4 linked regions of the Struthio camelus genome follow. The protein of the gene in region 1 purifies or fractionates together with the protein of each later gene. This does not show direct contact. Links are inferred from orthologs where the notes say so. Each region holds a gene or a part of one and is shown in the gene's direction. Other genes may lie near its edges. The genes, in order: SF3B1, SART1, SNRPD2 and PRPF3.

Evidence for each region.
Region 2: the proteins of SF3B1 (region 1) and SART1 purify together in Homo sapiens (co-immunoprecipitation; 4 studies listed by BioGRID and IntAct, with this or other methods). This does not show direct contact. The link is inferred for Struthio camelus from reciprocal best matches to the Homo sapiens genes SF3B1 and SART1.
Region 3: the proteins of SF3B1 (region 1) and SNRPD2 fractionate together in Homo sapiens (co-fractionation; 5 studies listed by BioGRID and IntAct, with this or other methods). This does not show direct contact. The link is inferred for Struthio camelus from reciprocal best matches to the Homo sapiens genes SF3B1 and SNRPD2.
Region 4: the proteins of SF3B1 (region 1) and PRPF3 purify together in Homo sapiens (co-immunoprecipitation; 3 studies listed by BioGRID and IntAct, with this or other methods). This does not show direct contact. The link is inferred for Struthio camelus from reciprocal best matches to the Homo sapiens genes SF3B1 and PRPF3.

Annotation. Positions count from the first base shown.
Region 1 is NC_090947.1:11,827,538-11,835,106, forward strand, and holds the start of SF3B1 (splicing factor 3B subunit 1), read left to right. Parts: upstream 1-4,556; 5' UTR 4,557-4,665; coding exon 4,666-4,693; intron 4,694-7,569. UniProt on the Homo sapiens protein: Component of the 17S U2 SnRNP complex of the spliceosome, a large ribonucleoprotein complex that removes introns from transcribed pre-mRNAs.
Region 2 is NC_090976.1:736,811-744,683, forward strand, and holds the start of SART1 (U4/U6.U5 tri-snRNP-associated protein 1), read left to right. Parts: upstream 1-4,867; coding exon 4,868-5,270; intron 5,271-6,004; coding exon 6,005-6,059; intron 6,060-7,127; coding exon 7,128-7,183; intron 7,184-7,279; coding exon 7,280-7,406; intron 7,407-7,498; coding exon 7,499-7,604; intron 7,605-7,743; coding exon 7,744-7,821; intron 7,822-7,873. Other genes in the region: amino acid transporter heavy chain SLC3A2, read right to left, coding at 2,029-2,467, 3,960-3,968. UniProt on the Homo sapiens protein: Plays a role in mRNA splicing as a component of the U4/U6-U5 tri-snRNP, one of the building blocks of the spliceosome. May also bind to DNA.
Region 3 is NC_090957.1:2,001,228-2,008,321, forward strand, and holds the start of SNRPD2 (small nuclear ribonucleoprotein Sm D2), read left to right. Parts: upstream 1-4,079; 5' UTR 4,080-4,207; coding exon 4,208-4,209; intron 4,210-5,370; coding exon 5,371-5,550; intron 5,551-7,094. UniProt on the Homo sapiens protein: Plays a role in pre-mRNA splicing as a core component of the spliceosomal U1, U2, U4 and U5 small nuclear ribonucleoproteins (snRNPs), the building blocks of the spliceosome.
Region 4 is NC_090971.1:2,724,291-2,731,854, reverse strand, and holds the start of PRPF3 (U4/U6 small nuclear ribonucleoprotein Prp3), read left to right. Parts: upstream 1-4,563; 5' UTR 4,564-4,646; intron 4,647-5,048; 5' UTR 5,049-5,150; intron 5,151-7,284; 5' UTR 7,285-7,321; coding exon 7,322-7,466; intron 7,467-7,564. Other genes in the region: MRPS21 (small ribosomal subunit protein bS21m), read left to right, coding at 1,730-1,910. UniProt on the Homo sapiens protein: Plays a role in pre-mRNA splicing as component of the U4/U6-U5 tri-snRNP complex that is involved in spliceosome assembly, and as component of the precatalytic spliceosome (spliceosome B complex).

The DNA of each region.
Region 1 (7,569 bases):
TATATGACCAGTCATTTACATATAGATAGATATAGCTAGAGATATAAAATATAGAGCATACATTTGCATTAGAAAAGAAATGGTTCCGTTTAAACTCAGATTATAAACTTTAAACGATTTGTAAAACATTTCATTGTTAGGATCTCATCTCGAGGATGACCATTTAAAAAATAGACAGAGAGACAGAGTCGATCCTAAATGAGGCAAATAGATCTGAATTATCATTGTTAAAAAAACGTGCTATTTTTAACTTGCTACGTTCAGCTCTGCTTCTACAGATGTGTGAGCAAGGCAACTAGTTTAATGTGTCCCTTTGGCAGCCAAAGATATGCAGGGTGAAGCAATAATAAAACCATTGTCTTCTTACTTACAAAAAGATTTTGAATAGTATCTGCAATTGAAGTATCTCAAAATACCCTATAAACTTCTGTAAAGTCTCACAACCACATCATTAGGCAGAGAAAGACGAACTACAAGCAGGAGAAATGGGTAAATTACTGGTTACATGATCTGCAAACAACAGAAGTTGATGCCACAGCTAAGAATTAAGGGCAGATTTACTATTTCACACTCTGGTACATTATCAGGAGCCATAATATAAAATTAGGAGAGCTTTCTTGTATTTCATATATCACAAGTGAACTAGTTTCTGGCATAGCAAGAATTAGGCATACCCTCAATCTACAAAAGGATCCTCAGACGCCCACTTAATCCTACCAGCTATCACAGAGAGCTCTGTGTCTTTATACTGGATAGCCTGAATCCTGTTATGGGGCTGGTGAATCTCTGCCCAGCTTTCCTGAATTCCTGGTGTGCCCAGTTCATGCCCCGAGATGTTTTGCTGCAGAGCAGTGCGTGGATTATGGCTCCTCACCCCTTTTAGGGATGCCCGTTTACTCTCTGCCTTGGTTTTCCACATGTGCAAAGGGAGAAAAATAGCAGTAGTCCCATTGCCAAGCGGGATCAACGACATTTATAACTGAGCTGTTTGGGTGCAGCAATACTGGAAAAGGCACAAATAGATAAAGCAGGTAGAAGGTGACATGCCCTCCCAGGGCCTGACAGCCCAGGGCCACCCGCACCCCTGGCCTGACCCTGCTGTAAGGACACTGCCACTGCTGCCAAGCCCCGGCACCCAGGTCCAAATTTTCCGGCCAACAGCTGAGAGGACTGACCTCAGGTCAGAAGGGGGCTCTGGCCCAGCCTCAACCCCCCCCCCCCCCCCCGGCACTGCAGTTGCTATTTGCATAGTGTTAGCTTGTGGTGCATTATTTTATACCATTAGGTGTGCGGAAAAATTGAATATAAATAAAAAGTTATTTTGGGGTAAATCAACAGGAGAGTGTAGCCAGGAGCATGGCTTCATTAAGTGAATCAGTGCCAGAAACTTCTGCTGGCCCCTCGGAAGGGGTAAATCAAGGACAGGCTAATGTGGCTGGATACTTCTTTCAGCCACAGTGCCAGCTAATGATGGCTTCAGCTGGCCAAAGAAACTGGACCTGAATCTATTCCATAAAGCAAGACATGGCAGGTCTGTAATTTAGGTCTGATTTACTCTAAATCTGCGAAGCTTTGGGGTTCTTAAATCCAGTCTATTCCCAATCCATAGAGGAGTCTCCCTGCAGTGTATGTGCATGTGCGTGCAGGGGAAGGGAACTTTGATAGGCAAAACAGGACTGGTAAACCACTAAGTACCATCCTGTCCATACCCTGTGGAAGCTGCGTGTTAGGGATGTTGTTCAGGAGGCAAGAAATTTGTGTATGCCTATCGAAGCCCTGAATCCTGACACAAATTAAAGAGCCTCGACAGCGTACAGAATTTGTGAGAAAAGATAAAAGACACAAAGAAGCAGAAAGCAGTTTTGTCACTGCACTTCACAGTATATCCTGCTTCAGCACAACACAATTCCTGTCGGCTCTCACAGCACCTTGAGAGAACTCCATCTTTTGTGGGGGAAATAGCATATCCTCAAATTACTACGTAAAAGAGTTCCTTGGGTTGACCACTGCTGAGCTTAGTGATGCATAACAGCAGAAGGAGCACAGCATTGCTGTCCATAACCGTTCAGCCTCACAGGAGCTGGAAGTCAGGCTGAGGAAACAAGAGAAAGTTACTGCAAATTGATATTCATAGTGAACCCGAGCATGTGACGCAGTTACTTAAAATAGTTACATGCATTAAATTCCTGCAGTAGGGAATTACTGTCTGCCTCAATCTTACCCTCATCTATCTCTAGGCAGTTCAGTACATATCTCCTTTTGTGGCCGCTAAGTATGTGCAAGTACATCTTTCTAGAAATGCAGAATGTGAGCTTAATAATACTAAGAGAAGAGAGAGAAGACTCTCAGTATCTTCAAATGACAGTCTCGTTCACTTAAGAACATTTGAATACATTTAATTATGTGAAAAAATAAAAGCAAGGAACTGTTCAGCAAACTTACGTGAGCTAAGCAACACAAAGCAAAAAGAGGTAGATGACAGATGGACAGATCAAACACAGATATTCCCACAAACATACAACCTTGGCTTTATCTTCTTTAAGACTATCCTCCAGGAGTCCTAATGTGAACAATCAGCCTTCATAATGGGAATGATTTATAGGCAGAGAGTGTGATGGTTTTGCCATCATGTACTTATCTCCCTTTTTGCAAATAATTTCTACATTTTACCTTATCAGAAATTCGTTCAACTCACTCAACAGAAATTGTTTCACATTGCTTGTTGCAAAGGCTTGACTATCTTAGTAATTTAGCAGTTGTACAATAAAACCATAAATACAAGTAAATATACTACATAAGATTACATATTACACTGAGTGCTATGAAACGTCATTAATGTGTTGCAAGATTAAGCAATCCTGTATCTGAACTTTGAACTTAGGTTGTGTGGTTAGCCTTGCTGTTTTGCTTAGATTTTTGCCTACTACTGCTAAAAAATAAGACAATGACGAGTTAGCTCATTTGCAACACTTGATATAAGGGAGAGTTCCAAGGGCTTTGGATGTGGACAGAATCAATCCTATTCAGATATGAAGTGCAGTAGCGATAGTATTGAAATATGGATATATCACATTAAAAGAAAAACTGCTAGAAAAGGTAAGAGTTTCCAAAATGAAATGCTGAAGCTGCACAAGAGCAGTTATTGCAGAACAGCCAAACAATTAGTTTCTGTCACCATTCCTACCCAGGGCACGTTTCATAACCCTCTGATCATTCCTCTGCCCTGGTCTGGACTATGTCCAGCTTGTCCACGTCTTTGTTAAATTGCAGAGTCCTAGAATGAACTGCACCACGATGTACTCCATCAGTGGCTTTGACTGTGCCAAGTGAAGTGAAATGATTGCTTTCCAGGTTTTATATACAATACCACTGTTACTCTATCCCAGAATTGGATTTTCTTCTGCAGCAGCATGATGTTGCTGATACATATTTAGCTTTGATTTGCTATCCACATCAGATCATTTTCTCATTATTTTGGCTATTTTGAAAGTGTATACTTGTTTTCAACTTCCAATATGTACTACGTTATGCTCGTCTTCATTAAAGTCCACCTTCTTGATCTCAAATGATTTCTTTTAGGGATCAAGATAATTTTGAATCTCATCTTGCAGCTACTAGTAACTTTGGCCAGTTTGGTGTCATCTGCCAATTCTAGAAACGTATCTTCAATTCCCTTTTCAAAGGTCTTACTAAAATATTCAGTAGAATTGATCTGCCTAGAGTGCTTTTGTCCCCATTAGACAGAGAAAAACATCGGTAACTATTCTAAGGGCGATTTTTCACCCGTCTTGTGGCAAATATACAAATTTATGCCCTGTTTTTGTATCTGTTGCTTTGTCCTTTGTTATCGGCCCAGTTTGCCTGGTAAGAGCAAAGAAAGGTCACGCAATTTGGCAAAACGTAGCAAAGTTGCCAATCTCCACACCAGAACCAACCCTCAGCAGGGAGCAGCATCAGTGAGAAGCGATTTTTCAGGAAGCAGAGACTTATTTGATTGTATTTTGACTATCCGTGCAGTGCAGTGGAAGCGTCATCGTCTTTCGGTGTCTCAAACGAGAAGAAGGCATCTCGCAGGCAGATACTGAAAGAGCGCCACTCATTTGTCTTTGGCTGAAGACAAACGAGAAACACTGGAGCCCTTGTACTTCAGGATAACACAGCAGCTACTTACTGCCGTGCCAAGGCCAGCAGAAGACACTGTCCCCTATCAACTGGCCTGGAAAGCACCGCTCCCTGCCCTCGCCCTGCGTTTGGGCCCTGCCCGCAGCCCTGCTGCGCCACACGCCTCAGCCCGCCTCAGCGCCCCCCTCCGCGCGCGCCCCTCCCAACGGCCGCCCCCGCGCGCGCCCCTCCCAACGGTCTCCTCCACGGCGCGCCCCTCCCAACGGCCGCCTCCGCACCGCTCAGCCGCCCTGCCATTCGCTGACCGCGCCGTCCATCACGGCGTGGGCGGGGCTCCGGCGCTGGCTCGCGGGGCTGCCCGGCCGGCAGAATGGCACCGCCTCTCGGCCTTCACTGCGCTTGCGCGGGGCCCCGCGCCGCGCTCAACCCGTGCCCCGCCCCCCAGCTGGCGCTTGCGCGTTGAGGCCCCGCTCCCCCTCCCCTCTGTAGCGGAAGTGGCTGGGCCGAGCCAGTTCCGCCTCGGCGTTGTTCGCTCTGGACAAAATGGCGAAGATCGCCAAGACCCACGAAGGTAAAAAGCCCCTATAGAGCCGCGGCGGCGCTGCTGGTACCCGCGTGTCCTGCCCCGGCCCTCCGATTCCGCTTCTCCCCGACTCCTGGGCCGCGTCAGGCCCGGCTGCGCGGCCGGGGGCCGGGGCCGGGCGGGCTCGCCCCGGGCGGGCTGGGCCTTGTGTAATGGCGTCTCCGGCGGTGTCACCGCCATGCCCGGGCCGCCGGCTGGCGCGGGGCCGGGGCGCCGCTCAGTTCCGGCTTTGTTGACCCCGAGAGGCCGCCGCGGCGCGGCGGCGACGTGAGCGCGGCCCCGGTCGCCCGTGGGCCGCGCCGGGCCCGGCCCTGGCCCCGCTCCGCCGCCGCGGCCTTGCCCCCTGCGTGGCGCCCGCTCGGAATGGCGCTTTCCGCCCGCCTCGGTTTGACGTGACGCGCGTCAATAACGCACGCTTATTTTGTTTAAGTGAGCCCTTGGGCCTGTGTCCGCTAGAAAGCGGAGGCCGCGGGCGCAGGGTGAGCTGTGATGCTGATGGCCTGAGTTGTTGCTAGGCGTCGTGTCGGCACGGCGCTGTTGAGAAAAATGCCCCGAAGGAGGGGAAAAAGCAGCGTGAGGTCTCAGGCTTTTAAAATGCCGTTTCAGCACGGAGGCTTCCTGTCGACTGGGGGTTTACATGGGAAAACTGATCTCTGAGCAGTTTGTGAGTGAGGGTCTTTACAGGCAGTATGTTGTTGCTCTCTGAGGTGTTACATGGCTCTGTACAGCATGAATAAAAGCTATCTCTTTTGTCAATGTCAGGGGTTTGTTTAGCTCTTAAGTATCTTAAAGCAAATGGTGTTGTTTTTAGAATTGTACTGCTTAATGCTTTCCTGCAAATGTTTTCTGTTTTTGTGTTTTTACTCATGTTTCTGCGTGTGATAGATGAACTGCTGTGCTTTGTATTAATTTACATACTGGATTCACTAATCAAAAAGTACTTCTGGACAATGGTTGTACCAAGTGAGGTAGGCAGGCTGTCTCTCAGGGAAGTAAGTTTTGCACTGAAAAAAATTCCTAATTTAGAGGCAGCTCCAGGTTGACGTGGACTGCAGGATCTGGTCTGAGCTTATGTAAGAAGGGGAAGCTTAAATAATTTTCTTCACTTCTCCCCCCCCCCCCCCCAAATAATTTGAGATTATATTTTAGCATTCTATAATGTTTTTTATAGAGTTACTGAATTTATTTATCTTCTGGTTATATGCTATGGCATGTATAAGGTTTGTATTGGATATTACCCAATTGGGTGTTACACATCACAGTGCTCTGTCTCTCTCACTAGTCAAAGATATTTTAATAATAAAATAGCAATATGATGTTTTTTCTTATTTTTCTTATACACTAAAGCAAGTCATGGTCCATTGAATTTAACGGAAGTGTTGTCATGCTTCCAGTTATGAGTATTAACAGATTAGCTTTGAAGCAGGCTTTAAAGGGTTTTTTGGTATGTAAATAAATTGTTATGTACAATTGGCAGTCATCATGTAATGTTATCTTGCCCTACATAGACATACTGGCTGAATGACTTGATTTTTTTTTTCTTTTGAGTTGTATGTTTTTTTTTTTTTTTTATTCCTGACTTATCTCCTAAATTGAATGAGTTATCTGTTACTAAATTCTCTTAAGATGTTTCACATCTTTGTACTGCTTTTAAATACTTGCTGATTTGATGTGTTCAAGACACAACTTGGAAAAGATCTCACACAGTTTGGGATTATTTCACTTGCATGATCTACAGGGAAATACTCAGTTAAATTAAAGTTTCAAAGTTATAAAAAGGTTATAAAATAGGAACTTATAAAGTATCTTAAGTGCTTGAGTTTTGAAATGCTACTGAAAATAGGTTTTTAATTGACAGTGCCTTGTTAAATAAGAAAAAAGGTTAAAAGAAGCAAACCTCCAAACATAATAAAGATTTAGTCCTAACACGGAGGAGAATCCTAAAGTGATTAGGATTGCACAGGGCAAGCTAAGAATGCAAAAATATAATTAGTAAATTGGAAAACATAGAAACTACTTCCACTCTAAAATACTTAAAATACTACTTCAATACAGGGAATGATTCTTCTTTCTTTTTTTAATGACGAGTAACGTTTTCCTTTCCAAACGTTGTAGATGGAACTAATCTTATAATAGTGGAGTATGTATTTTGAGAAGGGCTATCATGATCTGACTGTGAACTAGGTTTTCAGTGACTTTCAATTCATATGTGTTCACTTTCATGTTATGTATTCACTGTATTTTCCAAATCAATTGTGCATGTTAAAAGTACTCTTTCAAAAATACCAAAATATGTTAAAGTTACTGAATGGGGTAAAATACAGAAAGGGGATGATCAGTGGGATGTTGTGCTGTGTTTTGTGGTCTCTACTGCTGTTTGATCGAAGTAACTTTCTGTGTTTAGGCCCTGGTTCAGTAAATCATCAGACAAGTACTTCGCTTTACAAAATCACATTCCTAAGCTATCGAGATTACTCTCATTCTTCATCTGTTTTATGTTTAAATGCTTTCTTAAATAGAGTGTTAGATTTTTCTAGAAAATGCTGGCTAGATCAAGGAAGGTAAACATCTCTTTAATCTCAAACTAAAGTCTTTTCCTGCCAAGTATGTGGTACTTTGGAAACTTGCAATCGAGTTGTGTCTGGCTGCAGACCTTTTAAACCTGCTGGTTAAGGGAGGGTGCAGCTCATCAAATGGATGTTCTCTTTAAGAAGTGCTTCATTTAGACTGTAAGTCTAGCACTTACGGACTTCATTGCCTTGGTTGAAAATGATCATGGCCATAAGTGGGGGTTTGCTAACCCTACTGATTCCATGCCGACTCTTTTTGTGGTTTAGAATAAGCTGGCAGGTTTTGCTCTGAGG
Region 2 (7,873 bases), on another chromosome or scaffold:
CCCCAAATTCCCCCCCCAGGCTGGGAGGAGCCCTCAGGGACCCCAAAACCCCCCCAAATAGAGGGGAGACCCCAATTTCCCCCCTGGGCTAGGGGGGAGCCCTCAGGGACTCCAAAACCCTCCAAAACAGAGGAGAGACCCCAAAACACCCCCAAATAGAGGGGAGATCCCAATTCCCCCCCAAGCTTGGAGGAGCCCTCAGGGACCCCAAAACCCCCCCAAAATAGAGGGGAGACCCCGAATTCTCCCCCCAGGCTGGGGCAAGCTCTCCGGGACCCCAAAACACCCCCAAATAAAGGGGAGATCCCAATTTCCCCCCCCCCGGGCTGGGGGGAGCCCTCAGGGACCCCAAAACCCCCCAAAATAGAGGGGAGACCCTGAATTCCCCCCCTGGGCTGGGGAGAGCCCTCAAGGACCCCCCCCCAAACTATCCTGCTGTGTCACAGCCCCCCCCAAAGCTGAGTCATTCCCCCGCCCCAGGCGGTGGCTGATGAAACCCGACCAGCTGGAACCGGTTCCAGCACGTGGGGCCCCGGATGCCTGGGCCCTGCTGCCCGTGGGGGAGGGGCTGCCCCAGACACCGGGTCCCTTTGGGGGGGGGGGCAGCAAGGTTTTGGGGTGACACGGGGCGAGGGGGGACAACAGGGTCTAATGGTGACAGCGGGGACAATCCTGACACCCCGAGGGGACAGCGCAGCCTGATGGTGACAGCGGGGACAACCATGACACCCCGAGGGGACAGCGCAGCCCGGCGGTGGCAGCAGGGACAACCACGACACCCCGAGGGGACAGCCCAGCCCAGTGGTGACAACACGGACAACCATGACACCCCGAGGGGACAGCACAGCCTGACGGTGACAGCAGGAACAACCTTAATGCTCTGGGAACACGGGGTCAACCTGGGACGAGACACTACAGGGCCACCTCATGGTGACACAGGGCCACCTCTGCCACCCCATGGGGAGCCAAGGCCACTTCTGCCATCCTATGGGGAGGAGTCCCTACAGGGCTACCCCATGGGGAGCCAGAACCACCTCATGGGGAGGAGACCCTGCAGGGCCACCACATGGGGACTGAGGGCCACCTCTGCCACCCCATGGGGAGCCAAGGCCACCCTGACCACCCCATGGGGAGGAGACCCTGCAGGGCCACCCCATGAGGACCCAGGGCCACCTCTGACATCCCATGGGGAGCCAAGGCCACCCTAGCCACCCCATGGGGAGGAGACCCTGCAGGGCCACCCCATGAGGACCCAGGGCCACCTCTGCCACCCCATGGGGAGCCAAGGCCACCCTGACCATCCCATGGGGATGAGACCCTGCAGGGCCACCCCATGAGGACCCAGGGCCACCTGTGACATCCCCTGGGGAGCCAGGGCCACCCTGACCACCCCATGGGGAGGAGACCCTGCAGGGCCACCACATGGGGACTGAGGGCCACCTCTGCCACTCCATGGGGAGCCAGGGCCACCCTGACCACCCCATGGGGAGGAGACCCTGCAGGGCCACCCCATGAGGACCCAGGGCCACCTCTGCCACCCCATGGGGAGCCAAGGCCACCCTGACCATCCCATGGGGATGAGACCCCTCAGGGCCACCCCATGAGGACCCAGGGCCACCTGTGACATCCCCTGGGGAGCCAGGGCCACCCTGACCACCCCATGGGGAGGAGACCCTGCAGGGCCACCCCATGAGGAGCCAGGGCCACCTCTGCCACTCCATGGGGAGCCAGGGCCACCCTGACCACCCCATGGGGAGGAGACCCTGCAGGGCCACCCCATGAGGACCCAGGGCCACCTCTGCCACCCCATGGGGAGCCAGGGCCACCCTGACCACCCCATGGGGAGGAGACCCTGCAGGGCCACCCCATGAGGACCCAGGGCCACCTCTGCCACCCCACGGGGAGCCAGGGCCACCCTGACCATCCCATGGGGATGAGATCCTGCAGGGCCACCCCATGGGTACCCAGAGCCACCCCACAGTGCCACCAAGCCACCCCCTACCCCATCCCTCCCTCCCTGCTCCTCACCCGTGAGGTTGTGGGCGAAGGGGCCGGGAGGAGCGCGGTAGAGGAAGCCGCGGCGGGCCCAGGAGTCCGGGGGCAGGGGCCGGCAGCGGGGGGCGCGCACCACGATGGCCACGGCAGCGCCCAGCATGCCCAGCCAACCCAGCCAGAAGAGCAGCAGCAGGGCGGCCCGGGCTCGTGCCCACCCCGCCGCCCCGGCCACCCGCACCAGCTCCTCCTTGCCCAGCCCCGTGAACTTGGCGCCCGTGCCGCCGCCGCCGCCTTCCTCGCCCTCCTCTTCCTCATCCTCCTCCTCGCCGGGCGCCGCCCCGCCAGCGGATTTCGGGGGCGCCGCTTTCACCAGCCCATTTTTCTCTTCGACGCCACCGGCCATCGGCTGCTTCTCGGCGTCCAGTGTCGTCAGCTCCACGTCGCGCAGCGCCGCCGCCTCCGGCTCCATGGCCTGCGGGTGAGGTGGACGCCCCCGCGTTGAGTCTCCTGGGCACCCCGAGATCCCTCCCAAGCACCTCGAGATCCCCCCAAACCCATCTGAGCACCCTCAAATCCCCTTCTCTGGGAGGAAAATGCTCCCAAACATCTCCAGATCCTCCTAAGCACCCACCAAATGCTCCTCCAAGGATACCGAGATCCTCCTGGGCACCCCGAGATCCCCCTGGACCCACCTCAGCATATCCAAATGCCCATCCAAAGACCCTAAGATCCTCCTGGGCACCCCGAGATCCCCCCAAACCCATCTGAGCACCCTCAAATCCCCTTCTCTGGGAGGAAGATACTCCCAAACACCTCCAGATCCTCCTAAGCACCCACCAAATGCTCCTCCAAGGATGCTGAGATCCTCCTGGGCACCCCGAGATCCCCCTGGACCCACCTGAGCACACCCAAATGCCCATCCAAGGACCCTAAGATCATCAAGGACCCTGGGCACCCCAAGATCCCTCCCAAGCACCCTGGGATCCCCCCGAACCCACCTGAGCACCCCCAAATCCCCTTCTCTAGGGGAGAGATATTCCCAAACATCTCCAGATCCACCTAAGCACCCCCAAATGCCTCTCCATGGACCCTGAGAGCCTCCTGGGCACCCCGAGATCCCCCCAAAGCCACCCAAGCACCCCCAAATGCCTCTCCAAGGACCCCGAGACCCTTCTGAGCACCTTGAGATCCCCCCAGAGCCATCTGAGCAGCCTCAAATTCCCCCCAAGCACCCTGAGGTACTCCTGGGCACCTCAAGATCCCCCTGGACCCACTTGAGCACCCCCAAATCCCTCCCCAACCATCTCCAAACCCACTTGAACACCCCTAAGTCTCCCTCCTGGCCACTCTGAGATATCACCCAGGCCTCCCCCAGACCCACCTGAGCACCCCCAAATCCCCTCAGGCACCCAGGACTCACCTGGGCACCCCCCAGTGCCCTAAGAGCCTCTGGAGCACCCCGAGATCCCCCTGAGCACCCCAAGATCATCTCTAGGTACCCCCAGACTCCACCCCAAACACCCTGAGATCCCCCTAGGTGCACCCAGACCTTGCAGGGTCCCACTGTGCACCCCAATATCCCTGCAGGCACCTAGAGAACCCCCCACCGGGCACCCCAATATCCCCATGGGCACCCCCCAGACCAGGCAGGGCCCCACTGTGTGCCCCAAGACCCTCCCGGGCACCCCCAGAGCGTGCAGAGCCCCACTCTGCACCCCAATATGCCCCCCAGCACCCCGATATCAGGCACCCCCAATAATTTGGGGTCCCCCCCCAATCATCCATAGCTAAATCCAGGGTCCCCGGACTCCTGGGTCCCCACGTCAGGCAGGGTACCGCGCCCTTTTCCCCTAAAAACAGGCATCTCCCCTCAAAATAGTGGGGCCCCCCCCAAAATAGTGGGGAACCCTCCGAAAAGCAGGAATCGCCCTCAAAAAGCGAGCCACCCCTCCCCCTCCCCGTACTTGCGTCATCCTTACTGTCACCTATGGGACGGGCAGCGGCGGCGCTGGCTCTATATAGAGCGCCCGTGCCCCGCCCCTCGCCCCGCCCCTCCGCCCCTCGCCCCGCCCCCTCCGCGGCCTAGCTCCGCCCCCGCGGCCGCAACGCGCCAGGATCAAAGTGCAGGAAGTGGGGGAGGGGAGGGGGCGCCGAGACAATGCCCCATTGTTCCCCGCCGGGTGGGGGGGAAGGGGCGGCGCCGCCCTTCCCCCACCCCGGCCCCCCCACCCCAAACCTCGAGGGGGCCCCAAAACGCAGCGCGTTCCCCCACCCCGGGGTCTGGGTCCCCCCCACCCCCAAACCTTGGGGGTGGTGGGACATGGCCCCTCCCCCCGGGCGCCATTTCGGGGTGCCCCCAGGGGGCCGCCATCTTGGCTTGCCTTTGCAGCAGCCATTTTGGGGACACCCCCCCCACCTTGGCCACCATTTGGGGGGGCCCCCAACTTGGAGACCATTTTGGGGTCCCCCCTTCCCCTCCCCGGAGGCCGTTTCTGGGGCCCCCGCCGCCCCCCACGGAGACGCCATTGTGGTGTTTTCCGCACACACACGGAGCCGCCATTTTGGTGGCCCCCTCAGGAGGCCGCCATTTTGGTGACGCCCTGGAGGTCGCCATTTTGGTGACACCGCCCCCCACCCCCGCCTCCACGTGTCCTGCCGGTTCCTGCCCGGACGCCTGGGTCCCTGGGGGTGGGGGGGCACCGGACTCTGCCCCCTTCTCCCCCCCCAACTTCCGCTGCGTCCCCACGGCAACGCGGCGCGGCCCCGCCCACCAGAGGAAGTGACGCCTTGAGGGGGCGGGGAAGACACCGCGGCTTCCGCCGGAAGCGGCGCGGCGACCCCGGAAGCGGCCGCCGGCGGGAGCGGCGCGGCCATGGGCTCCTCCAAGAAGCACCGCGAGCGCGGCGGGGCCGAGGCCGGCACCGAGGAGGCCCCGGCGGCGGCGGCGGCCCCGGCAGCAGCAGCAGCAGCGGCGGCAGCAGCAGTGGCGGCGGCGGGGGGAAGCGGCGGCGGTAGCGGCGGCAGCAGCAGCGCGGCGGGGCGGCCCCGCGAGCACCGCAAGCACCGGCACCGCGGCGGCGAGCGGCGCGGCAAGCGCAGCCGCTCCCGGGGCGAGCGCGGCGGCGGCGGCAGCGGCGGCAGCGGCTCGTCGCGACGCGGCGGCACCGAGGAGTCCGGGCGCGGCGGCGGTGGCAGCAGCCATGGCCGAGGCGGAGCCGAGCCCGACGCGGGGCGACGGGGCAAGAGGGAGCGGCGGGAGGAGCGGGACGAGCCCGGTGAGAGGGCCGGGGGGTCCCCGGGGGGCGTCTGGGGGCGGCTAGGGGGCTTGGGGGGGCGTCTGGGGGCGGCTAGGGGGCTTGGGGGGGCGTCTGGGGGCGGCTAGGGGGCTTGGGGGGGCGTCTGGGGGCGGCTAGGGGGCTTGGGGGGCGTCTGGGGAGGGTGTTTGGGGGAGGGCGTTTGGGGGCGGCTGGGGGGCTGGGGAGGGCGTTTGGGGGCGGTTGAGGTGCTTGGGGGGTGTTTGGGGGTGGCTAGGGGTGGTTGAGGGTTTGGGATGGGGGGGGTCTGTGGGGACCTTTAGGGGAGGTTAGGGGGCTTGGAGGGGTCTGGGGGCCTCTGGGGGTGGTTATGGGGCCTGGGTGGGGGTAATTAGGGGGTCTTTGGGAGTGGTTAGGGGGCTTTGAGGAGTACTGGGGGAGGTCCTTGGGGGAAGCTATGGGGCTTTGGGGAGATCTAGGCGTCTCTGAGGGTGATTGGGGGCCTTGAGGGTCCTTGGGGGTGCTGGGGGGTCTTCAGGGGGTGCTGGGAGGGGTCCTTGGGGGGGTCATTATAGGGCTTTGTAGAGATCTGGGGGTCCTTGGGGGTGGTGATGGGGCTTCGGGAGGTTCTCGGGGGTGGTTGTGGGGCTCTGAGGACGGTTATGGAGCCTTGGGGTGGTTGTGGGGCTTGGGGAGGGGGGGTTACGGGGTACTGATCCCCCTCGTTAGCTAACGACCCCCCTTGCCCCCGCCAGCCACCGCCTCTAAGGCCGCCGCGGGCGAGTCGTCGCTCAGCGTCGAGGAGACCAAGTGAGCCAGAGCCCCGCGGGGCCCCCGATACCCCCAATACCCCTCTGATGCCCCCAGTTACTTTTTGTAACTCTTAGTTGCCCCAATATTGCTCTGATACCACCCGATTATTTCTTGTAATGCCCGGTTACGCTAGTTTTTCTCTAATACTCTCAGATTATTTCCTGCAACTCTTGGGTCCGCCGGTGCTGTTCTGATATCTGTCATTTATCGTAGCCGACTCGTAGTTATACCGACGCTTTTCTGATACTTTTTCTTACACTCTCGTTACTCTGGCAAACTCCCGACACCCCAATTACCTCCTGTAACCCCTCGCGTTGCCCCCGTTACTCCTGGTCGCTCTCCGATACCCCAAACAACCCCCCAGTTCTCCTGATAAGTTCTTGGTGCTGCCCAGATTTTCACCACTGTTGTTCTGGTGCAGTTCTAAGTATTTCTAGCGTATAGTTCTTTTTTTGGCTACTTTTAATACTCAGTAGTTACTTGTTTAAGTTCTAGTGGCTGTTATTACCCTGATATACCCCCAAATCCCCCCGCTTACTCCTCAGTTGCCCCAGTACTTTTCTGATGCTCTGCAGTGCTCCCCCAATGCCGTTTAAAACTGTGCTCGTAACCCCAAAACCGCACTGTTTTGCTCTGATATTCATTCGATGTTTTCCAAGGTTTGGTGAAGTTCCTCAAATGTTTGCAGAAACCTTGAATGTTCTGTGAAAAGTCCCCATAAGGCCCCAAAATGTTCCCAGTTACTGCCAGCACTGCTCTGCGCTGCCCAGTTACCCCCAGTATCACCCCAGCATTCCCCCGTTACCCCAAATATCGTTAATACTCTGCAATTACTGCTGAATGCTTTTTAATTTTCCTTAAATCACTTCAAATGCGTTTGCTTACCATGATATTTATTAATTTTTTTCTAATGCCTGCGCTGCCCCCACCCCAGGGTGCCCCCCACCCCTGTTTGCTCCCACACATTCATTTCCACCACCCCCGTCCCCATATTTGCCCCCCAGGCCTCAATTTACCCCCATATTTGCCCCCTTTTCTCACCCCTTTGTTTTTCCCCGTTTCCAGCAAACTCCGCGCCAAGCTGGGGCTGAAGCCGCTGGAGGTGTCCGCTGTGAAAAAAGGTGAGGAGAAAGTGCCCCCCTCGCCCCACTTTGGAGGGGTTCCCTGTGTTCTTGGCCCCCCCCCAACGCCCCCTTTTTCCCCGTTTTTCCCCCCAGAAGCCGGCACCAAGGAGGACCCGGTGGCGGCCGACGTCATCAACCCGCTGGTGCAGCGGCAGCGGGAGGAGATCCGCGAGAAGCTGGCGGCCGCCAAGGAGAAGCGGCTCCTCAACCAAAAACTGGGGTGAGCCTCCCCCCACCAACCTGCCTCTGCCCCGGCAGCACCCACACGGGTGGGGGCGGCCCCAAGAACCCCTTTTTTTCCCCCGGAACAAGGAAAGTGAAGACGCTGGGCGAAGACGACCCGTGGCTGGACGACGCGGCCGCCTGGATCGAGCGGAGCCGCAAGCTGCAGCAGGAGAAGGAGCTGGCGGAGAAGAGGGTGAGCTCTGGGAAGGGGACCCAGGCGTCCGGGGGTGCCCTGCCCCTGTGCCGGGAGGGGACCCAGGCATCCGGGTGGGTGAATAACCCTCCCTGCCCCCACCATGGGGTTAATTCGGGGCGAAACGGCGCCGTTTCAGGCCAAGCTGCTGGAGGAGATGGATCAAGAGTTTGGTGTCAGCACGTTGGTGGAGGAAGAGTTCATGAGAAGGAAGCGGGTGAGCTCGGGACCCCCTTGGGGACGTCAGGACCCCCTTGGGGACACCCCTG
Region 3 (7,094 bases), on another chromosome or scaffold:
CCTGGGACCAGTCTAAGCTCTAACTGGGACCAGTCCCAGCCTCTAACTGGGACCAGTCCGGGCTCTAACTGGTTTTGTCCCCGGACTCCTGGGTCCTTCCCCCCCTCCCCACCGGGGGGGGGTGCGGCGGGGGGAGGGGCCCGGACGCCTGGGCTCCTTCCCCTCTCTGCCCTTGGGAGAGCAGCTTCCCTCCCCCCCCCCCACCCGGCCCGGACGCCTGGGTCCCCTCCCGGTGGGGGGAGGGGTGGAGGGGTCTATGGGGCGGGCCCGGACGCCTGGGTCCCTGCCAGGTTCGGAGAAGGGGGGGGGAGGATGTGGCCCGGACGCCTGGGCCCCTTCTTGGTGGGGGGGGTCCTGAATGCCTGCGCCCTCTTTTTGGGGGGGAGGGTCCCGGACACCTGGGCCCCTTATTGGGGGGGGGTCCCGGACGCTTGGGTCCCTTTTTGGGGGGTGTCCCGGATGCCTGGGTCCCCTCTTAGTGGGGGGGGGGTTGCCCAGATGCCTGGGCCCCTGCCAGGTTTGGAGGGGTGTGGCCCGGACGCCTGGGCCCCTTCTTGGTTGGGGGGGGGGTCCGGCCGCCTGGGTCCCTGCCACGTTTTGGGGGGGGTGTGGCCCGGCTGCCTGGGTCCCCTTCTTGGTGTGTGTGGGGGTCCCGGACGCCTGGGCCCCTGCCAAGTTTGGGGGGGTGTGGCCCGGACGCCTGGGCCCCTTCTTGGTGGGGAGGGGGTCCCGGACGCCTGGGCCCCCTTTTAGGGGGGGTGGGGGGTGTCCCGGACGCCTGGGGCCCTGCCAGCTTCGGGGGCGGGGGTATGGCCCGGACACCTGGGTCCCTTCTTGGTGGGGGGGACGCCTGGGTCCCCTTTTGGTGGAGGGGGGTCCCGGACGCCTGGGCCCCTGCCAGCTTTGAGGGGGGTGTGGCCTGGACGCCTGGGTCCCTTCTTGGTGAGGGAGTCCCGGACTCCTGGGCCCCCTCTTGGTGGGGTGGGGGGTGTCCCGGACGCCTGGGCCCCTGCCAGCTTCGGGGGGTGTGGTCCAGACACCTGGGTCCCCTCCTAGTGGGGGATCCCGGACGCCTGGGCCCCTGCCACGTTTGGGGGGGTGTGGCCCAAACATCTGGGTCCTCTTCTTGGTGGTGAAGGGGGTTCCCGGACACCTGGGCCCCCTTTTAAGGGGGGGGGTCCCGGACACCTGGGTCCTTGTTAGGTTTGGGGGGTGTGGCCCGGACGCCTGGGCCCCTTCTTGGTGGGGGGTGTCCTGGACGCCTGGGCCCCTGCCACATTTCGGGGGGGGTGTGGCCCGGACACCTGGCCCCTTCATGGTGGGGGGGGTCCCGGACGCCTGGGTCCTCTCTTAGTGGTGGGGGGGGCCCGGACGCCTGGGCCCCTGCCACGTTTGGGGGGGTGTGGCCCAAACGTCTGGGTGTCCTTCTTGGTGGGGGGGGGTCCCGGACGCATGGGCCCCCTTTTAAGGGGGGGGGTCCCGGACGCCTGGACCCCTTCTTGGTGGGGGGGGACCCGGACGCCTGGGTCCCCTTTTGGGGGGGGTTCCCGGACGTCTTGGTCCCTGCCAACATTTGGGGGGGGTGTGGCCCGGACGCCTGGGCCCTTTCTTGGTGGGGAGGGGGTCCCGGATGCCTGGGCCCCTGTCAGCTTTGGGGAGGGGGGTGTGGCCTGGACGCCTGGGCCCCTTCTTGGTCGGGGGGGGGTGTCCTGGATGCCCGGGCCCCCTTTTGGGGGGGGGGGTCCGCACCTAAGGCCGGTGGGGAACCAAGCAGGGACCCAGGCGTCCGAGGGGCCCAGGCGTCCGGGGGAGGCCCGTGGCCGGCGGGAGGGGGGGGGGTGTCACCGGGCAAGACACGCCGAGGCCACGCGTGACGAGCCCGCGAGGCGGCACGCGCCCGGCCCGGCGCACACGCGTGTGCGACGCCTCGGCCCTGGCGTGGCGCCCGGCCTGGCACCGGCCCCGCGGCCGCCGGCCGGGGAGGGGCTGCCACCGCCGCCGCTCGCACGACGGCGCACGTGGCTCGCACGAGGACACGGCCGGCTCGCACGAGGACACGCGTGACATGCACCAGGACACGCGTGACTCGCACGGGAACCGACCTGGCTCGCACGGGGACACGCGTGACTCGCACCAGGACACATGTGACTCACACAGGGACACGCGTGACTCACACGGGGACCCGCCTGGCTCGCACGGGGACGTGTCCGGCTCGCACCAGGGCACGCCTGGCTCGCACGGGGACATGTGTGACATACACGAGGACATGTGAGACTCGCATGGGGACCCATCTGGCTGACAAGGGGACACGCGTGACTCACACGAGGACACGTATGACTCGCAGAAGGACACGCGTGACTTGCAGAAGGACACGCGTGGCTCACGTGGGGACCAACCTGGCTCGCACGAGGACATGCGTGACTCGCACGAGGACCCGCCTGGCTTGCACGAGGACACGTGTGTCTTGCACGGGGACGCGTGTGTCTCGCACGGGGACACGCGTGCGTCGCACGAGCACCCGTCCGGCTCCCTCGGGGACCCTCGTGCCCCCCCCTCACCCCGGGACGGCCGGTCCCCCACGCCCCGCACACGCGTGGGGGAGGGGGCGGACCCCCCCCGCCCCGGCCCCGCCCCCCTGGCCGCGCTGGCCCCGCCCCCGGCCGCCCAGGCTCCGCCCCCCTCCCCGTACCTGGCCGCCAGCCGCCCGGCCATGGCGCCGCCGCCGCCGCCGCCGCCGCCCTCTGCGCGCCCGCTCCCACCGCGCCGCCGACCCCCGCCCGGCCCCGCCCCCGGCCCCGCCCCCGGCCCCGCCCCCGCACGCCCCCTCCCGCCTCCGGCGGCGCGCCACGCCCCCTGCTCCGCCGCTGCCGGCCACGCCCCCTCCCGCCGCGCGACACGCCCCCCGCTCTACCGCCGGCCCCGCCCCCTCCCTCCCGCCCCGCCCCCATCGCCGGCACACCCCCGTTCCTTGGCCACGCCCCCGAGGCCACGCCCCTCGGACCTCCCCCCGCCCCGCGCCCCGCGCCCCGCTCCGGGCAGCCCCCCTCCCCCCCCCCCAGCACTGTCACCACGGGGCACCCACGGCACCCGCTGCCCCCCCGCACTGCCCCCCCCGCACTGCACTCACTGCCCCCCACTGCACCCCCTGCCCCCCCCGGCCATCCCACTGCCCCCCACACTGCACCCGCTGCCCCCCACATCTCCCACGGCACCCGCTGCCCCCCCGCACTGCACCCCCTGCCTCCCCACCCCGCACTCTGCACTGCCCCCACTGCATCCTCAGCACCCCCGCACTGCCCCCTTGCGCTACCAGCACCCACTGCCTCCCTCGTGGCACCCCACACTGCACCCCTGGCACACACTGCCCCCCACCCCGGACACCCTGCACTGCTCTCCTCCGGGCACCCCCAGCGCCCAGCGCCTCCCAGCACCTTGTTCTGCGCCCGCTGCCTCCCCACGCCCCCTCCCGCTTTGGTACAACTGGGGGGGGGCGGGGGCTCATGTCAGCCTGGGCCCCCCATGAGGTCCGTTTCCAGCCCCCCCATGTCTGTTTCCACTCCCCATGTCTGTTTCCAGCCCCCCCAATGTCCATTTCCAGCACCCCATGTCCGTTTCCAGACCCCCCATGCCTGTTCTCACTCCCCCATACACGTTTCCAGCCCCTTCATGCCCATTCCAGCCCCTATGGCAGTTTCCAGCCCCCCTATGTCCATTTCCACTCCCCATGCCCGTTTCAACCCCCACATCTGTTACCAGCCCCCCATTATCTGTTTCTAGCTCCCTCTGTCCATTTCCAGACTCCCATGTTCGTTTCCAACCCCCCCAAGTCCGTTTCCAGCCCCCCGTGTCCGTTTCCACCCTCCATGTCTGTTTCCAGCCCCCCATGTCCGTTTCCACCCTCCATGTCTGTTTCCAGCCCCCCATGTCCGTTTCCAGCCTCCCCATGTCCGTTTCCAGCCCCCTCCGGGCAGTTTCTCGCCCCCCCCAGCGCTGCCGCCGTGGCCGCGCGCGGCCCCGCCTCTTTTGGCCGCTCCGCCCTGCCGTAGCGGCGGCTCTTCCCTCCCCCCTCCCCGCTCCCGGCGCGCATGCGCAGCGCCCTCTTTCCCCCCGCGAGTGCGCCGTGACCCCGGAAGTAGCTCCTGGGCGCCCCGGAAGTGGATCCGTGCGGGCGGCGCGCGGGAGCGGGAGACGCGCGAGGGGAGCCGCCATGTGAGGGGGGAGCGGGAGCGGGGGGGAACCGGGAGCGGGGGGGGGGACTGAGAGAACCGGGGGCGGGGGGGGAACCGGGGGCGGGGGGAACTCAGAGAACTGGGAATGGGGGGAACGAGAACAGGGGGGAACCGGGGACGGGGGGGGACCGGGGCCGGGGGGGGACCGGGGACAGGGGGAATGGGAACGGGGGGGAACCGGGAACGGGGGGGAACCGGGGATGGGGGGGAACTGAGAAAACTGTGGATGGGGAGAACAGGAACAGGGGGGAACCGGGGCCGGGGGGGGGGAACCGGGGCCGGGAGGAACTGAGAGAACCGGGGATGGGGGGGGGGAACGGGAACAGGGGGGAACCGGGGAAACCGGGGATGGGGGGAACCGGGAGCGGGGGGGGGGGGAACCGAGGACGGGTGGGAACTGGGAGAACCGGGAGCCGGGGGGAACCGGGGATGGGGGGGAACTGGGGGTACGGGTGACGGGGGGGGGAACTGGGAGAATCGGGGACGGGGGCAACGGGAACAGGGGGGAACTGGGGATGGGGGGGAACTGGGGACGGGGGGAATGGGAACGGGGGGGGGAACCGGGGCCGGGGGGAGGGGGAACTGGGAGAACTGGGGATGGGGGGGAACCGGGGACAGGGGGAATGGGAACAGGGGGGAACCGGGAATGGGGGGGAACTGGCAGCGGGGGGAACCAGGGATGGGGGAGAAATGGGAGGACCGGGGATGAGGGGAAACTGGGAGGACCGGAAACGGGGGGAACCGAGAGCATGGGGGATCCGGGAATGGGGGGAACGGGGAACTGGGAGTGGGGGGGAACTGGGGGAGGGGGAACTGGGAACAGGAGGGAACAGGAACGGGGGAGGGGGGCCAGGAACAGGGAAGACCGGAAACGGGGAGGACTGGTAAGAGGGGAGAACCAGGGACGGTGGGAACCGGGAGCAGGGAGGGGACCAGGTCTGGGCTCCCCCCTCTCCCCAATGTCCCCGCTCCCCGTTGTCCCCCCCCTCCCAGTGCCCCCCTCATGCCCTTGCGCCCACTCCTGCGTCCCCCCGGGCGCGTCTTCCCTGCTGTCCTGTTCCCCCCGTCCTCTGTTTCCCCCCCCCCTCCCCCCATGCCGGTGTCCCCAACCCTGGGGTGACCCGGCGGGGTGACGCCGCAGGTCGCTGCTCAACAAGCCCAAGAGCGAGATGACGCCGGAGGAGCTGCAGAAGCGCGAGGAGGAGGAGTTCAACACGGGGCCCCTCTCCGTCCTCACCCAGTCCGTCAAGAACAACACCCAGGTGCTCATCAACTGCCGCAACAACAAGAAGCTCCTGGGGCGCGTCAAGGCCTTCGACAGGTCCGTGTCACCCACCCCCCGGTGTCCCCAAACCCACCCCGGCGTCCCTAAATTCCCCTGGGGCCCTCTGTGTTCCCGAATCCCCCTCCTGCCACCCCAAAGTTGTCCCCGTTGTCCCCAAATCCCACCCCGGCCTCCTTAAATCCTTCTGGAGCCCTCCGTGTTCCCAAATCCCCTTCCTGCCACCCCAAAGTCCCCCCCAGTGTCCCCAAATTCTTCCCCGATGTCCCCAAATGCCCCCCTGGAGTCCTCTGTGTTCCCAAATCCCCCTCTTGCCACCCCAAAGTTATCCTTGGTGTCCCCAAATCCCACCCTGACCCCCCCAAATCTTGCCCTAGAGGCCTCTGTGTTCCCAAATCCTCCTCCTGCCACCCCAAAGTCGTCCCTGTTGTCCCTAAATCCCACCCCAGCCTCCTTAAATCCCTCTGGAGCCCTCCGTGTTCCCAAATCCCCTCCTGCCACCCCAAAGTTGTCCCCGTTGTCCCCAAATCCTTCCCTGGCATCCCCAAATGCCCCCCTGGAGCCCTCTGTGTTCCCAAATCCCCCTCCTGCCACCCCAAAGTCCCCCCAGTGTCCCCAAATTCTTCAGTGCTCCCCATTGTCCCCCCAAAACCTCCCATGACCCCACTACCCCCCTGAGGACCCCAGTGTCCCCCCAAATGCGCCTCGCATCCCCAAATCCCCCCCGGTGTCCCCCAAATCCCCCTGGAGCCTCCCCCGGTTCCCAAATCCCCCTGCCACCTCCCCACAGTGTTCCCCGGTGTCCCCAAAACCTCACGGGAGCCTGGTGTCCCCCAGGAATCCCAATGTCACCAAAATTCCCCCCCACCCCCAGTGTCCTCACGTGCCCCTGGAGCTCTCCATATTCCCCCAATCCGCCTCCTGCCACCCCAAAGTTGTCCCCGTTGTCCCCATATCCTGCCCCAACGTCCCCAAATGCCCCCCTGGAGCCCTCTGTGTTCCCAAATCCTCCTCCTGCCACCCCAAAGTCCCCCCCAGTGTCCCCAAATACTTCCCCGACGTCCCCAAATGCCCCCTGCAGCCCTCCGTGTTCCCCAATCCCCCTCCTGCCACCCCAAAGTCCCCCCCAGTGTCCCAAATCCCACCCTGGTGCCCCCAAATCCTGCCCCAGCATCCCCGAAATCCACCCTGGCTTCCCCAAATCCCCCTCTGTGTTCCCAAATCCCCCTCCTGCCACACCAAAGTTGTCCCCCGTGTCCCCAAATCACCTCTGTGTCCCCAAATTCCCCTGGAGCCCTCCAGGTTCCCAAATCCTCCTCCTGGTGGCCCAAAGTGCTCCCCAGTGTCCCCCCCAAAACCTCCCAGCACCCCAGTGTCCCCCCTGAGGACCTCAGTGTCCCCCAAATGCCCCGGGTGTCTCCAAATCCCCCCTAGTGTCCCCAAAATTCCTCCTGGCACCCCCCCAGGTTCCCAAATCCCCCTTTTGCCTCCCCAATATCCTCCCCAGTGTCCCCAAAGTCCCCCCCGGGAACCCTGCTGTCCACAAATTCCTCCCTCTTTCCCAAAGTCCCTCCCCCATGTCC
Region 4 (7,564 bases), on another chromosome or scaffold:
CATTAGTACTTGTGGAGCGCGAGACTCTGTCAGGGTTGTCGCAGTCTTTGGGTTCCCACATCATTTTAAATTGGTACAAAAACTTGCCTGAATTACAATGTGGACGAAGTCAAGGCTCAGACGCCAGGTTTTCCTGAAATGGCTTAAGCCGTGCTTCTAAAGGTTCGTTGCTTGCGGTGGCTCGTTGCCATCCGTAACAGGTAGGCAGTTATGCTCCCTAGGGCTGGGTTCAAGGACCTCCGTGAACCTTGTATGAGCTCTGCTTGATTTAACCTCGGAAACGAGGATTGCTGTCCTTGTACCAAGCGATAAGAAAGATGCAAGTAGATGAACAGAGTACATGATATGGCGGGGGGCGTGAATGACAGTTTTTCTCATTAGCAGCAAAATCACCCGGTGTTGCGTGAGGAGCTTTGATCTTGAGTTGTAACAAAGAGCAGCAACAGATGATTCAGCAGGTGAAGGCTGCAGTGTAAAAGCAAAGATTAAGGGCGTATGTGGTTTAAAAATAGCCAAGTTTAAGCGCAGCTGTGGGCAGACCAGGTTAAAACGCTCATCCTTGTGGCTGTAAATGGGAACGTGTTGTAAGGATGTTGGAAAAAGCCCGGTGCAGCCTTCCAAGCTGTGCTTGGGAGTTTGCCCCTACCCAGCAGGGAGAAAGCATTTCCCGTTGGGAACGGTGGTGGCGGCGAAGTGGCCGGCCATGGGGCTTTGATGTCGAGAGAGGCAAAGCCACCGTGGGAGCTCTGCTGCCGCCCCGGCGCGGGGAAGAGGAGCGGTGAGGGGGGATGCTGGAGCCGCCTCGGGAGCAGGGTGGAAAAGAGCCCAGCGCTGGGGCTTATTTATAGCTCTGAGCTTAGCGGTGCTGACGTGACTATTTCCACTAATAACTTCGGGGAGGAATGCAGCTGCGTCCCACCTCGTGTGCTCGCTGACGGCTCCAAGAGAGCCTGCACGGGGCTGACTCGCCGTCTGTGGACGCCCGGGCCGTGGTTTAGGAAAGGTCTCCGCTTCGCTCTGCTGGGGCGAAACATGCTGAAGGTGACGGTAAGCGCAGGCAGCAGCGTTGGTGTGGCACCACATGCCTGCCAGGCTGTCATCTCCAGCCGAGAGACTTGGTAACCATGGAGAAAACTGCCTTTACCTGCAGCACATTAATTTTTCACAACTACCAAGCAGCTTAATGAAGTTTTAAAGGCGTTTTATTTTCCTCCTGATAATTCTCAGCCTGCTAAGCGAAATGCTTTAGGACCTCTGATGTTTTTGCATTAATGGCCTCTGAGCAAAACAAGTCGGGATGACTGGCGCAGCATGGAGACGACCGATCCTTGCGTGCACTGAGCTGGGTCAGGTGTTGGCGGGTTACCCCTCTCCTGTTCTCAACCAGCCCTGTCTGCCTCTCTTCACTGGAAAATCATTGCAAATGCCTCACCATCAGAGACTACCTGCGCTGTAATTCCTACTGGCAGTAATTGATGCAGGAGAGTTAAAAATATGCAAGTGAGGCCCAGTTCTTTACCCAAATCCCCAGTGTTTTGACCTGCCTGTCATTCCTGCTGTCAGCTAATTTAAAGAAATAGGTGATGCAGGGAGCAGCAGGCTAAACGGAGCCTGCAGTAAGGGCTCTCTTGCGTAATACGGGCTCGTGGGTGGGTTTATTTTGGTGTTTGATGCAGTCGGCGCATTGTGCAGAAGCCGCGACGTTTGACTCCGCTCTTCCTCCCCGCAGAATCCTCTCGCATGACGGGATCATCGACGACGTCAAGCAGAAGCGGTACTACGAGAAGCCGTGCCGCCGAAGGCAGCGGCTGGCCTACGAGGCGTGCCGGCGCGTTTACAACACCGAGATGGCCCGGAAGATTGCCTTTCTGTCGCGGAAGAACCGGCAGGACCCGTGGCTCGGCCACTAGCTCCGGCCGCGCCGCGGGAAATCGGGAGCTGGCAGCCCTCTGTCGCGGCCCCTGCCACGGCACCGCGCGCGAGGGCCGGGCAAACCGAGCTCCTCTCCACGCGGAGGACGGACCTGTGTCACTGCTGTCACCTTTCTATCTGTTAATAAATACATCTTGGCAGCGTCGCCTGCTGTGCTTGGGTGACGCTCGGGTGAGCAAATCGTGTGCGATTCTGCTGCTCGAACTAGCCGCTCCTCTGCGTCTTGTTTAAATAGCACCTGGCCTAGCTAAGGCCATCCTGGCCTCTTGCAGACCAATGGGGAGAAGGACAATTTCTGATTTGGTTTGTATAAATAGCAAAGTGCTGGCAGTGTATTTTTAAAATAATCATTTTCCCCTCAGTTTGCAGTTTTGACAGGCAGCAAGGAGCCTGTGTTACGCAATAAGGTGCTGCTTGTTTTATTTTACTTGTTTTTGAGGTCCCTTTAGCCTCTCAAATCTGGCTGGTGGATTAATACAAATGACAGTCTGTGCTTCCTGAGGAGGGAAGCCACTTGTTCTGGTTTGGTATGAAAATCCTAAATACCATCTCTTTTTTTTTTTTTTTTTTTTGTAAGGCTGCTCTGGTCAGCTCAAAGTCCACATTACACAATCTTACCAGCCTCCTCCCTCTGCTCTTGGAAGGGTTTTATTTTTCCAGACCAACTGCATCCCATGCCCCAATAGTTTGCACCCTGGCACTGTGTAACAGGATCACTTTCTTTGCATGTTGAGAGATCCATGGGCCTTTTGTCTGTGCCTGCGTGTCAACAGGGCAGGGGGCATCATTGCTGCAAAACCCTAGCGTTTGCTCCTGGGAGCATGAGGTAGCAGCTGCAGCTCTTGGGGGGGTGGGTATTTGCTTGCCGGTGTCCCAGTGCTGGGGGGGCAGCGGGTGGCAGGAAGCTGTACAAGTGCTGCAGGTATGCTTGGGGGTCTTTTGCAGAGCCAGCTGTATGAGCGTGCAGGCTGAGGGGAAGGGGAGGGCAGCCCTTGTGTTGCACACTGCCCGTTGCACACCAGCTCTTGAGTGCTGCAGATTGCCCCTTGCATGCCAGCCCCTGCGTGCTGCCTGGCCTTTGCACACTGCATGCCAGCCTCGCATGCCCCCCTTGCAGGCTGCCCCTTGCATGTTGCATGTTCCCCTGCATGGGGCACGCTGCCCTTGCACACTGCCCCTTGCATGCTGCATGCCACCCTCACACATAGCCCCTTGCACACTGCATGCCACCCTTGCATGCTGCATGCTGCTCCTGCATACTGCCCCTTGCACAGTGCATGCTGCATGTCATCCTTGCATGCTGCACACTGCCCTCGCACATCACCCCTTGCATGGTGCATGCCACCCTTGCACGCCGCCCCTTGCACGGTGCATGCTACCCTTGCACGCTATCCCTTGCATGCTGCACATCATCCTTGCATGCTGCACACTGCCCTCACACACCACCCCTTGCACAGTGCATGCCACCCTCACACTCCACCCCTTGCATGGTGCATGCCGCCCTTGCACGCTATCCCTTGCACGGTGCATGCCACCCTCGCACACCACCCCTTGCACGATGCATGCCGCCCTTGCACACCACCCCTTGCACGGTGCATGCCACCCTCGCACACCACCCCTTGCACGATGCATGCCGCCCTTGCACGCTATCCCTTGCATGCTGCATGCCGCCCTCGCACACCACCCCTTGCACGGTGCATGCCGCCCTCGCACACCACCCCTTGCAGGATGCATGCCACCCTCGCACACCACCCCTTGCACGATGCATGCCGCCCTTGCACACCACCCCTTGCACGGTGCATGCCACCCTCGCACACCACCCCTTGCACGATGCATGCTGCCCTTGCACGCTATCCCTTGCACGGTGCATGCCGCCCTCGCACACCACCCCTTGCACGATGCATGCCACCCTCGCACACCACCCCTTGCACGGTGCATGCCACCCTTGCACACCACCCCTTGCACGGTGCATGCCGCCTTCGCACACCACCCCTTGCAGGATGCATGCCACCCTCGCACACCACCCCTTGCACGATGCATGCCACCCTCGCACACCACCCCTTGCACGGTGCATGCCACCCTCGCACACCACCCCTTGCACAATGCATGCCGCCCTTGCACACCACCCCTTGCAGGATGCATGCCGCCCTTGCACACCACCCCTTGCACGGTGCATGCCGCCCTCGCACACCACCCCTTGCACGGTGCATGCCGCCCTTGCACACCACCCCTTGCACGATGCATGCCACCCTCGCACACCACCCCTTGCACGATGCATGCCACCCTCGCACACCACCCCTTGCACAATGCATGCCGCCCTCGCACACCACCCCTTGCACGGTGCATGCTGCTCCTTGCACGCCGCCCCTTGCAAGCTCCCTGCCGCGCAGCGCGCGTGCCCCGAGGCGCGCGCCAGGGGGAGCTCCGCGTCACCCGCCCACGTAACGCGGGGAAGGGGGGGGGGGGAGCCCACGTGACCTCGGCGGCGGGCGGTGCTGCGTCACGTGCCGAAGGAGAGCCCCCCCCCACCCTCCTCTTTCCCGACACCCCTTGCGCGGGCGCGCGCGCAGGCGCCTTGCGGCCGTTTCCGCTTCCGCCCCGACGTGCCGTCGCCGTCCGGGCCCACCGCCGCTGCCCGGGCCGGGCCCTGCCCTGCCGCCGCCGCCGCCGCGGGAGTGCCGGGGCCGCGCCCCGCCGCGGGGAAGAGCCGGGCGGTGAGGAGCCGCCCGCGCCGGGGCCGGGGGGGGTCGCACTTGGGGGAGGGGCGGCCTACCGGAGGCCGCCGTCGCGTCGCGGGGAACTCCCGAGGCCGGGGTTGGGGGGGGGGGGCGGCCGGCTCCGCCCCCGCGGGCTGCTCCGCTGCTTTAGCGGCCGGGCCGGGCCGCGGGGCAGGACGGGCCCGCGGAGGCCGCTGCCTGCGGCCGCCGATTCCGCGAGCTGCTCCGGCCGGGGCTTCCCGAGGGCTTTTGTGCGGCGGGAGCGCCCAGCGTTCCTGGGTGTGCGCCGTCCAATAGCTCCTCAGCACCCCGAAGTTCACTGTGCCTGGCGTTGTTGCTTGGTTTTAGGCGTGCAAGTTTTGCAAGATAAAGTTAATCCCCTTTTTTCTTTTCCCGAAGGATTCGGTTGTTTTGCCAACAGCGCTGTGGGACCATCGCTTTCAGGTTATTTCTGGGAAATAATATAATGAAGGAGGCGAGTGGATGTATATTTAAATTAAGGTGTGTTATACGCTTCAGCACCAGTTTCCTTACTGAAATTTATTAAGCCTTGCCCCTCACCTGAGTCTGTCATGCCCGCAAGCTAACATTGTGTACACAGTGTTAGGAGCACTAATGCTGCTGGAAGAGGTACCTTTAGATGCCAAGCAGTGTATTTACTCTCCTTATATTCACCCAGTGAAATTCCATTAAACGTGTTGCAGTTCTTTGTTGTACCTTATTGAATTACATAAGTTAAAGATTAATGCGGAGTTTAAACCAAAAATGAATTGTGTAAGTTTTGGATTTATCAAAAAAAAACTTTTTTATTTGTATGTTTATGTATATATGCAGCTGTGACCAACATCAGTATTGCAGATGCAGTGTAGCACTCAATTAATTTAAATTATCTTGAATCTTGGACACCTTTATTCTGACGTGCTATATGCTACAAGTCAGGAGTTACAGCTGAAATGTAGTAGTAATGTACTTTTGAGCTGTGTTTGATGCTGCTTTTTAACATACCTCTGTGAAACTCTCTGTAGGGGGGAGGAAAAAAAAGGATGTGAAGATTTTCAACCTTTTGCTTTGCAGACTGTTACGAAGTCTCTGGTGAAAATGTAACTGCCCCTAGTAGCTATTTTGAACCTGTAGCTTTTCTTCTCTTGAGTACTTCCCGCAGACCCTAAATTAAAAAGCACTTTACTAGAACTAAGGCCCAAGATCTTTTTTTTGTGGCCCTCTCTTTGTGAGTGATAGCCTTATTTGAGGTGGTATTTACTTTCTGTTTAAATAGATCCATATTAACCTCCAGGCTATGCAGGCGTTTTCTTCTAGGGAAGAAATGTCTAGGTCAAACATACTTCCTTAAGAAGATTTTCTCCTGTTTCCAGATAAAGAAGACTTGGTTTCCAAATCAGATTAGAGCCTGGGTGCATAATTAAACTTTATTGCATTTACAGACTCTAAATGACATTAAAAGTATGAACCACTAATGACTGACGGTGAGAGTTTTTTGTCTTGAAAGCCTGCAATCTGTTGTTCAGTTCAAAATGATCAGGCTGGGAAATACGTTGTTACTGGCTTGCTGGAGACTGATGCTAGTTTAAGTAGCAAATGCAGGGGTAGTCAGGCACGTGCTGAACTTTAAGCATTAGTAAATCTGTTGACTAAATGAGATTTTCAAACTTAGCCTTGAGCATAGCCACAAATTTCCGGGACTTGGACCGCATGCCACAGAATAAAGTGTTTGTACAGGCTCATGTAGTAAGGCAGAATGAGAAGGCTGGGAGATGGTCTTTTACTGCAGATTGTGACTTTAATCTCTCCCTGGAGTAAGAAAAGGGCTGCAGCACTTCATATTGTGAAGCACAGCGTGTTCAAAGTAGTCTGGGAACCTCAGATTAAAGGGACGCGGCGCTCTAACATATGTGTATATGCACGTATTGGATTTTTCAGTATCTGCTTGGGATGTTATTTAGCCCACATAGTTTTAAAACAGTGGATACAATAAGCTTGCCTTGAGCAATGTAGTCCGTAATGAGCTGGTGGTTTTCATGGAAGGTGAGTGAGTCTTTATCCATTAGTAATTAGCTGCATAAATAAGTAAAGCCATTGCTGTGCCTGACACTGGTTGGCTTTCCTGCTTTTGTAAGACAAGCCAAGGACTGAAGGGACACCTCAAAACCAAACTTTCCCATCCTGTTTGTGGGGATCCATGTGTGGAAGTGGAGCCTGCGCTGCAAGGACAGATATGCTACTTGGTTTATTTCTTCCCCTTTAGGGAAGATGGGCTTTGTGTTGGTAGGATTTAGGAGATGCAGGGACTAGTCCTGCTTTTCATGCAGAGTTCCAGAGTAATCTGTGAGCATGATGTTTCCCTTAGGAAGGTCTTATGCTTTGTCTTGTCTGGTCAGAGTGTAGGCTCCTTGCTGCTCAGACCCTTCCTCTCCATGCTTCTGCAGGACTCTTAGCTAATTTTAGCTTGCATTTTAAAAACAAGCAAGCAAAAGTAATCTCTGAGAGCTTTTATTGGTTGTAAGTTTTCTCTTTGAAGAGAAAAATACAGGGCATTGATACAATGATAATCTGTCTTTTTTTTTTTTTTTAAACTAATTGTGTCGGGTTTTTTTTCCCTTGTCTGTCTGCTTTTCAGGTACAAGCACGATAATTAGAATCAGCCACTAGCAAAGATGTCGCTGTCCAAAAGAGAATTGGATGAGCTGAAGCCATGGATCGAGAAGACAGTGAAGCGAGTCCTGGGGTTCTCGGAGCCCACTGTGGTTACGGCAGCGCTGAACTGCGTTGGGAAAGGAATGGACAAAAAGAAAGCAGCTGGTATGGCCAGAGTGCTCTGACCCCAAATCTGCAATTGTTTGTAGAAGCACTTGGACCCCTTGATAGAGCAAGCAGTGCGTAGAATAGGTGCACAATAA